Nothobranchius furzeri: one gene and its partner. The protein of the gene in region 1 interacts with the protein of each later gene in a biochemical or structural test. Links are inferred from orthologs where the notes say so. Each region holds a gene or a part of one and is shown in the gene's direction. Other genes may lie near its edges.

Region 1 (4,222 bases):
GTACAATATAAATTAAACAAGTCAATAAATCGCTTACTATTTATTGAACTTCAAACATAAAACATAAAACTTTGTGTTGTGATCCTTAGGGTCCTTTCTTCAGTCTAGTTGTGGCGGCAGTTGGCCACACAGGTGCCTGATTTTTAAATTAAAAAAAACTTTATCGGCTTTTTAAAATAATTTTGGCCGACATAGAAAAAACTGAATATATCAGCCGGCCTCTAATTCAGATCTGAGAAAGCCACCAGCATGCCTCCAAAATACTAATATCCATTTTATGGTTGGAGTTTTGAGATGTAGTAAAGCAGGCCTGTCGGACGTGGGTGGGGGGCATGATTAGCTCTAGTGGTGTGACGTTCATGAACGAATCGAATCTTTTGAACGGGTTTTCAAAGTGAACGATGAGAGCAGATTCCCTCTAGAGAGCTGTTCATCTTGTCTTCCGGTAACAAACCTCCCCAGAAGTCAGTAAAGCGCAGCCGCTCAAACACCACCCACCACTGTCACGGACGTAGGAGGAGCACTAAACAACCCCGTGCACCCTCACGGACACCGCCGCAACACGTTGCTCTCTTTGCTTCGCTTCTTTCAAAGGAGCCAGTCTTTTGAACGGCTCTTTGAGGTAAACGACCGACTAATGAACGACTCCCACGAAAGAGCCATAAATCCCTAATCACACTAATTAGATCAAAGTCTGATAATCGGCCTTTTTTATTGTGAACTTATTTATTGTATTTGTAAATTACAAAACAGTCTTCCCTATCCTGAAATACAACCGTCTGTAACATCATCAGTTTAAAGATGGGTTTAGAGTAAACAAATGCAACAAAAGACCCTGATAGAGTAATACACACCAGTCTGTGTTAAATATTGTTGTAATGCTGCTTTCTGTCTTTTCTTCCTGTAGCTGACTGATCAGCCGTCGCTGGAGGAAGCCATTAGGATAGCATCAAGGATACAGCAGGGAGAGTCACCAGGCCTGGATGATTGATGAACTCCTTATGGACAAAAAAAAGACTGTTTAACTTTATAAGTGGGAGAAATTATGAGTCTTCCTTCTATTTGTTTTCACAGATGAAAGTTGCTCTCATGTGTACATAGGATTTTAATAATCTGAATTATGTTGTGTATTTTTCCCCTCATAAAAACATTTGGGGGATGCCTTCAAATGTTAAAAGTGTACAGTAAATGCTATTTGTAAACAAATCTGTGACTCTTAACTTTCCATCACTATTGCTCCACTCTGCAGGTGAAGAGGCTAGAGATCCATACCAAATGGTTCATTTAGAATATTCCTAACAAATAAACAACTTGCTGCATCAACAAAAAAGGGTACAATGGAAGACAACTGTTAAGAGATGGTGCTTACAGTGTTATAAATAACCAGATGATTCAGTTTGGGATTTTTTTTTCCCACTACAAACCACACCACCCAGTCTGCTGTATAACTTCACCTTTGGCAGTGAGAATATTTCTTCTAAAAAGGAACGATAAGTTTGACTCGTTTGAAATTCGCGGCAATATAAACGTAATTTTGATTAACGTAATTGGGTTTCAAGTTGCTTCACAACAGAGGCTTGTTTGATCGTGCCGCCTGATGACTTCGCGTTTTGTCTTGGCAATGTGAGCGTCGTGAAAAGGCACACGTTCGCGCCATATTGTTTTGCTGATATCTATGACGTAATCCACCAGAAATCGCTCTGGAACGCCCAGCTTTCAAAATTCAGAGGCAAGCTCTGATTGGCTGCGGTGTGACACGTGACCAACGGTCGCGGGAAGTTCTTCGCCACGCGCGTCACGGGAAGAACTCGTTGCTTGACTCATTCAAAACTTTTTGTAAACATAAGTAAGGTTTAATCGAGGAAAGACGTCGGTGAGTCACCGGGACGTCGGTGGACCGGACAGCCGCACTGGAGTTAACGGACTGAGTACTTTTATTCGTTTTTACTTTAATACTTTGGACGTTACATGGAATACGGCTCGTGAGAGGCCATTTCTTAGCGTTTCTCCCCGTGTTGTTGGGAGTTAGCAAGAAGAAAGTTAACGCTGGAGATTAAAAAACGTCTTAACCGATACCTTTACGTGAAGGTAAATAGAAGCAGACTACTTTTCTGTGGTGGGTATCCCCGGTATTTTTTTTTTTTTTTTTTTTTTAATTTTTTGGTCGATAATCTCGGGGTTTAAATCTTGAAAATGTCGAGTTACAGTCGCCATCGACACGGAACCCCCTCCCCTAAGTCTCGACCCATCCGTCAGAAGTTAAAGTTCACTTCCAGCGATGGAGAGGACGACCCTATCGAGGATGTGAACAACAGCACCGGCGGAGAGTCCGGCTTCACGGAGATGGATTCCCCCACGCCATTGCGACGGGACACTGTCGGGAAGCGGCTGGAGGGCAGCTGCAGCCCCCTGAATCAGTCCGGTGGGGACGACGACGTGGAGCTGTGGGACGAGGAGAGTCTCGGTTCCCCGTCTCTAATCTGTTCACCGAGCAGTGTTATTTTTAAAAACTGTTCACCGAGCAGTGTTATTTTTAAAAACTGTTCACCGTCATCCAAGAAAGTGTCCCGGTTGTTCGGAGGGTCGCCTGAAGCTGGAAGGAGCTTCCAGGACGACGGAGAAGGATCCAGCTCTCCGATCCCGGACTGCCCGGACACACCTCCGCACAAAACCTTCAGGAAACTCCGGCTCTTTGACACGCCGCACACCCCGAAGGTCAGGATCTGTGTAGACAACAACATCTTCATGTGTCTCCGTAGAAACATGAGTTTACTAAACATTAAGAATTTTTTTTATTTATTTTCATTTTTTGCAAGTTTGATCTATTCATTCACAGCTAGCTTTAAAAGCTGCCCTGTTAGGGGCGCACGTTTTAATATAAAACATCCGTTTGTTGTAAAACTTCCAAAAGCCCATTCACTGCGCTAGAGTCTGGTATCAGCCCGGTGACCCATTAATGTACCTGTTGCATAAGCCTGTTGGTCAGAGTCCATGCAGCTTTATGTCCAGACATGTCTGCATTAGACAAGACACCAAAACTTTACTCTTTATTTGAAATCAAGTCAACGTGAGTTCAAGCAGATGTTTTGTTTTGTGCGTTTAGTAACGACTGGTCCTGTTTTTGCAGAGTTTGCTTTCCAGAGCCAGAGGTTCTGCACCAGGATCCTCCAGCAGAAGAGTTGCTCTTTTTAAAAATGTTGAGTCTCCAAGAAAGCCAGCCTCGGACAGTGGCAGGAGACCGCACATCCCGCTGGTCAACTTTAACCCCTTCACCCCCGATTCCCTCATCATCCAGTCAGCCACACAGGAGAGGAACAACAGGAAGAGAGCACACTGGAACGAGTATGTTGCTCAGGGGTTCTCAGATTCTAGATTATCTTGTCAGTACTTGTTATGTATGAAGATACTGTTCTGTAGGACCAGATCAGCTGAAATATCTATTTTATGTATTAGTTGTTCCTGAGGTGCTGCCAGAGATCATCACACGTTGCAGAGCAGGGTCGAGCAGCTGCACCTGTTCTTTGTAAAACACAATGAGGCCTTTGTTGAGGCAGACCAGTGATGTTAAGGCCGTTTGTTGATTAGGACTAGGGGGTGTTGGCTGGAAGTCAAGACCTCATGGTTACTGATGAACTCAGACATGTGCTTGTGAAGGCACTGTGCTGCCCCCTGCTGGATAGAATGCTAACCAAATATCCCCTTGTTTCAGCTCCTGTGGAGAAGACATGGAGGCAAGTGACGGTGAAGGCAAGGATGAAGTCCTCCCACCATCGAAGGTAAATGAAACTTTTACCCCTTCATAGATTTCTTCATTTTGACCCTTTACTGTGGAAACAAAACCCCTAACCCCAAACAAATGGCGTGAAGTAGACTGGAAGATCTCAAAAAAAACATGCCATCATGACCTGTGCTAAAGACGTGTGGTTGTTACCAATATTCTTTGGAAACATCCATGAAAATGTTGTTGAAAATGTATTAAATGATGCCCAGTAGTTGAAAATAGTGGCTGTTTTGTATCTGATAAAAATTGGGTCTGAAATACACAGGAGTGGGTCTAAGGCCCAATCTCAATACTCTCACTTGCACCCTTGATATTACCTACAATCCGTAGCAGCAGGAGAAAAGACTCAAATGCCTTTTTTGAAAATATGTATTTTCTAATGAAAGTTGTCAATTTTAGGACGATTAGCTGGTGCTCTGAAACTTTTAGACGAAGCAGCAA
Region 2 (3,651 bases), about 37 Mb from region 1:
ATTTGAAAGGCTTGAATCGCATTTGGCACTTTTGAGATTTTAATTCATTTCATTTTTAAAAAGTGTTGAAACTAGCTGAAAATAGTGAAATCACAATGGCATTTTAGATCATTTTGAGCAATTTATGTATGTTTTTAATTCTGGCAAAGGCACAAGTCTCCTGCATAGATAGTAAACGTTCATGTCAATAATAGAAACAAAAAAATGTTCAAATGTGAGAAAGAAGCTGTTGTTTTCCCACTCGTTTACTTATTTATTTGTTTATTTTGGCATCCTCTGTCTTAATCTGGATTTACAGCTGGATCTCAAAGGTTCAGTCAGCATGCAGAAAATAGAAATGTACAATATAGTTAAAGGAAGAAAGAAGGAACAATATTTTATTCAGCACCTCTCAAGATAAAAATAAGAAGGCTCTTCATTTGGACAAAAATGTTTTTTTTAAATATCGTAAAATATGATCACCTCAAGGTTGGACTACTCCAATGCAATTCTGTTTGGCATTTCAAAAGCCGCATTATCTCGCCTTCAGCTGATACAAAATGCGACAGCAAGATTTCTGACCAATACTGGCCGTCGGCAGCACATCACTCCCATTTTAGCAAGACTTCACTGGCTTCCTGTGCACTACCGTATACGTTTTAAAATTTTATTGTTTGTTTTTAAGGCACTGAATGGCTTAGCACCACCCTACATATCCGAGTTACTCACTCCTTATGTGCCAGGCAGGACTCTCCGTTCAGGTGACCTACACCTATTAAAGATTCCCCGTCAACGCTGCAAAACCCGTGGTGAACGAGCTTTTTCTGTCTGCGCTCCAAAACTCTGGAATGATCTCCCGCTGCATATCAGACTCTCCTCCTCCATTGGGGTTTTTAAGTCTCACTTAAAGACTTACTTTTATTCTCTTGCTTTTACTACCTAGCTATTTTATCGATGGTTTATTTACACTGTTCTTTTACTGATTTTATTGACTTCTCATTGTTGGTTCTTTGTGTTTTGCTCTAGTTGTTTTATTCTTTTATATTATTCTTTTAACCTTATATGTTTTTACCCCTGTACAGCACTTTGGTCAGCTCACATGCTGTTTTTAAATGTGCTTTATCAAATAAATGGAATGGAATGGAATGGAATGATCAAAGTAAAAGTTGCGATTAAAAATGTGGAGGAAAGGGAACAAGAAACCGAATAAAAAAAAATAGATAGTTAGTGGATCCCAGGGGAAATGCAGTATGGCTGCAAGAGCAGAATGGAGAAGGAAGTGATGAAAAAGAGAAGAAACAAAATAAAATTTTATGCACAGATTAAAACTTTGCTTATTTTTATATTTTCTCTGTGGTCTTGATGTCAAGTTGTTGTTTTTGTTGTTGTTAGCCTCAAGGGCAACATGCCGATTATCACTTGTAAGTCGCTTTGGACAAAAGCGTCTGCTAAATACATAAACATAAAGTATTTTGCATTTTTCTCTTTACAAAATTGTTTATTAATGGTTTAAGTGAGCAATAACTATTCATTTTTGTCTTTTCTTGTAACCTTTGTAATAAAAATATAGATGCACGTTGAAATTTAAACATTTATGGGGTTTTTTCTCTTGCAGGCAAGGTTTACTACTTTAATCACATCACCAATGCCAGCCAGTGGGAACGTCCAGTGGGAGACGGCCGTGGAGAGCCAGATAAGGTGTTGCAATAACAACAACAATAAACTTTAATTACACAAGTTGGATTTTTTTTCTACTATTTAACAGGAAATGTGACATTTAAAATAAACTTGGCAAAAACAAAACATAAGGAAATTTGTTTTCAGTTGAATACTTCCAAGTTTGTGTTGCTGGTTTAAAGTACCCATCAAAGAGACTGATATGGAGGATCTGTTTTATTCAACAGTTTAGAAAATGCTGAAGTATGTTTTCTGTGACTGAATATGAAATAATCCTGATTAGTTGAATCAGTTTGGCTGCACAATGAGTACGTTTACATGCAGCCAATATCCGGGTTATGATCGGGTTAAGGTCGGCATTCGGGTTTCTGAGTTGTTCAGAATAACCCGTTTACAAGCACGAGTTACCCCTAACTTGCATAACCCGATGTAAATGCGGACGTTGGGGCAGCGTCAGGACGTGTGGACTACGTCCAGATGCAATATGCATCATTTCCGGTTCTTCTTGTTCTGGTATCCGTGAAAACAACAAAATTTTTCCCAGTTCGGAAGAGATAGCGACCGTGTTTGTTTGCGCTTTAGTTTCCTCGTCACTCAAAGTGTGGTGCTGTGCCACGACTCGCCATGTTGCTCCCAACTTGTTTACTTCTGGTGTTCTGGCGCATACAAGACGTCTCGCTACTCAAAAGACCAAGATTCCTTGCGAACAGAGCATGCGCAGAACACACGCTTTGATGGGGATATCCCGGTATGCATTTACACGACCAAACATTCGGGTTAGAAAAGGGTTACCCCAGGTGTAGTAACCGGGTTTTTAAAAACCCGGTTATGAGCATATCCGGGTTTCTGGTGGTGTTTACAAGGACCTGCGGAACCGGGTTATTGTGAATATTCGGGTTTTAAAAGGGTTACTGGCTGCATGTAAACGCACTGAATAACTGACTTTGACAAGACAGGCTGTTTATGGAAAAATGATGCATAAACTTTTCAGTCATCTTCTATAACTGCTTCTTTCAAAATGCTTTTGATTTCATGTGTTCAGTGCTTAATGCTTAGTATGAAAAATAAAATGGATCCTTAATGGGTCAGGTGATTGATGATTAGCTCTTTCGATGAAAGTTCTCGGCCATTTTTGTGTTTTTCTTACAGGTCCGCTGCTCTCACCTCCTGGTGAAACATAATCAGTCGCGTCGTCCATCTTCTTGGCGGGAACAAAATATTACACGAACTAAAGATGAGGCCTTGGAGTTCATTCAGAGTAAGTTAGACCAAGCAGAAGAGGAACGGAGGTGTCACTCTGCAGAAGTCTGATCGTTTCATGTCCTTTTTTCCTGCTCAGAGTACATAGAACAGATCAAGTCTGGACATGAATCGTTTGAGTCCTTAGCTTCACAGTTCAGCGACTGCAGCTCAGCCAAGAACGGTGGTGATCTCGGACTGTTTGGCAGAGGTATTAAAACATCACGATCTGGGTCGGACTATTCAGTTTAGTTCTCTGTTTAGATTTGTAGCCATTCGGATCAGTTGGACTTTGTTCCCAGGATAAATGTTTGTGTAGATTTTTATTATTTTTTTAAACATCGAGTGTGTGTGAGAGCAAGGGACAGGTTCAACACTTAACTTGGTTATTTACTAAAACCAACACCTTCTCCCGGTGTTATAGTTTTGCTTTTAACTGTAATACCCCAAAAAGTTTTCCTCTAATAAGTCTGAAGTAACAATAAAATCAAAGTGAAGATTTTTCTGAAAGTCTTAATATAACTGTCTGTAGATGAAAGAAACTGGTTTATAGAGACCAAGATGTTTTGGAAGTCTTATTTGTTTCAGATTGTAAACTTAAAATAATCAGAAAACACAGCTTTTTGTGTGGAAAAATAAAAACTCATTTATAACAAGTAAAAGGGAACGAGACACCAAATGCAACGGCAGGCAGAAACTATCAAATGTTTTATTTTTTCTGTAGAACCCTGGCGGGTGTGTGAATGTTGATCAAAT

Evidence for each region.
Region 2: the proteins of wee1 (region 1) and pin1 form a complex in vitro, tested with the Homo sapiens proteins (2 studies listed by BioGRID, with this or other methods). The link is inferred for Nothobranchius furzeri from reciprocal best matches to the Homo sapiens genes WEE1 and PIN1.

Annotation. Positions count from the first base shown.
Region 1 is NC_091744.1:46,647,371-46,651,592, forward strand, and holds the start of wee1 (wee1-like protein kinase), read left to right. Parts: upstream 1-1,388; 5' UTR 1,389-2,193; coding exon 2,194-2,715; intron 2,716-3,127; coding exon 3,128-3,342; intron 3,343-3,709; coding exon 3,710-3,776; intron 3,777-4,222. Other genes in the region: znf143b (zinc finger protein 143), read left to right, coding at 908-991. UniProt on the Homo sapiens protein: Acts as a negative regulator of entry into mitosis (G2 to M transition) by protecting the nucleus from cytoplasmically activated cyclin B1-complexed CDK1 before the onset of mitosis by mediating phosphorylation of CDK1 on 'Tyr-15'.
Region 2 is NC_091744.1:9,163,046-9,166,696, forward strand, and holds part of pin1 (peptidyl-prolyl cis-trans isomerase NIMA-interacting 1), read left to right. Parts: intron 1-1,594; coding exon 1,595-1,677; intron 1,678-2,805; coding exon 2,806-2,914; intron 2,915-2,995; coding exon 2,996-3,106; intron 3,107-3,651. UniProt on the Homo sapiens protein: Peptidyl-prolyl cis/trans isomerase (PPIase) that binds to and isomerizes specific phosphorylated Ser/Thr-Pro (pSer/Thr-Pro) motifs.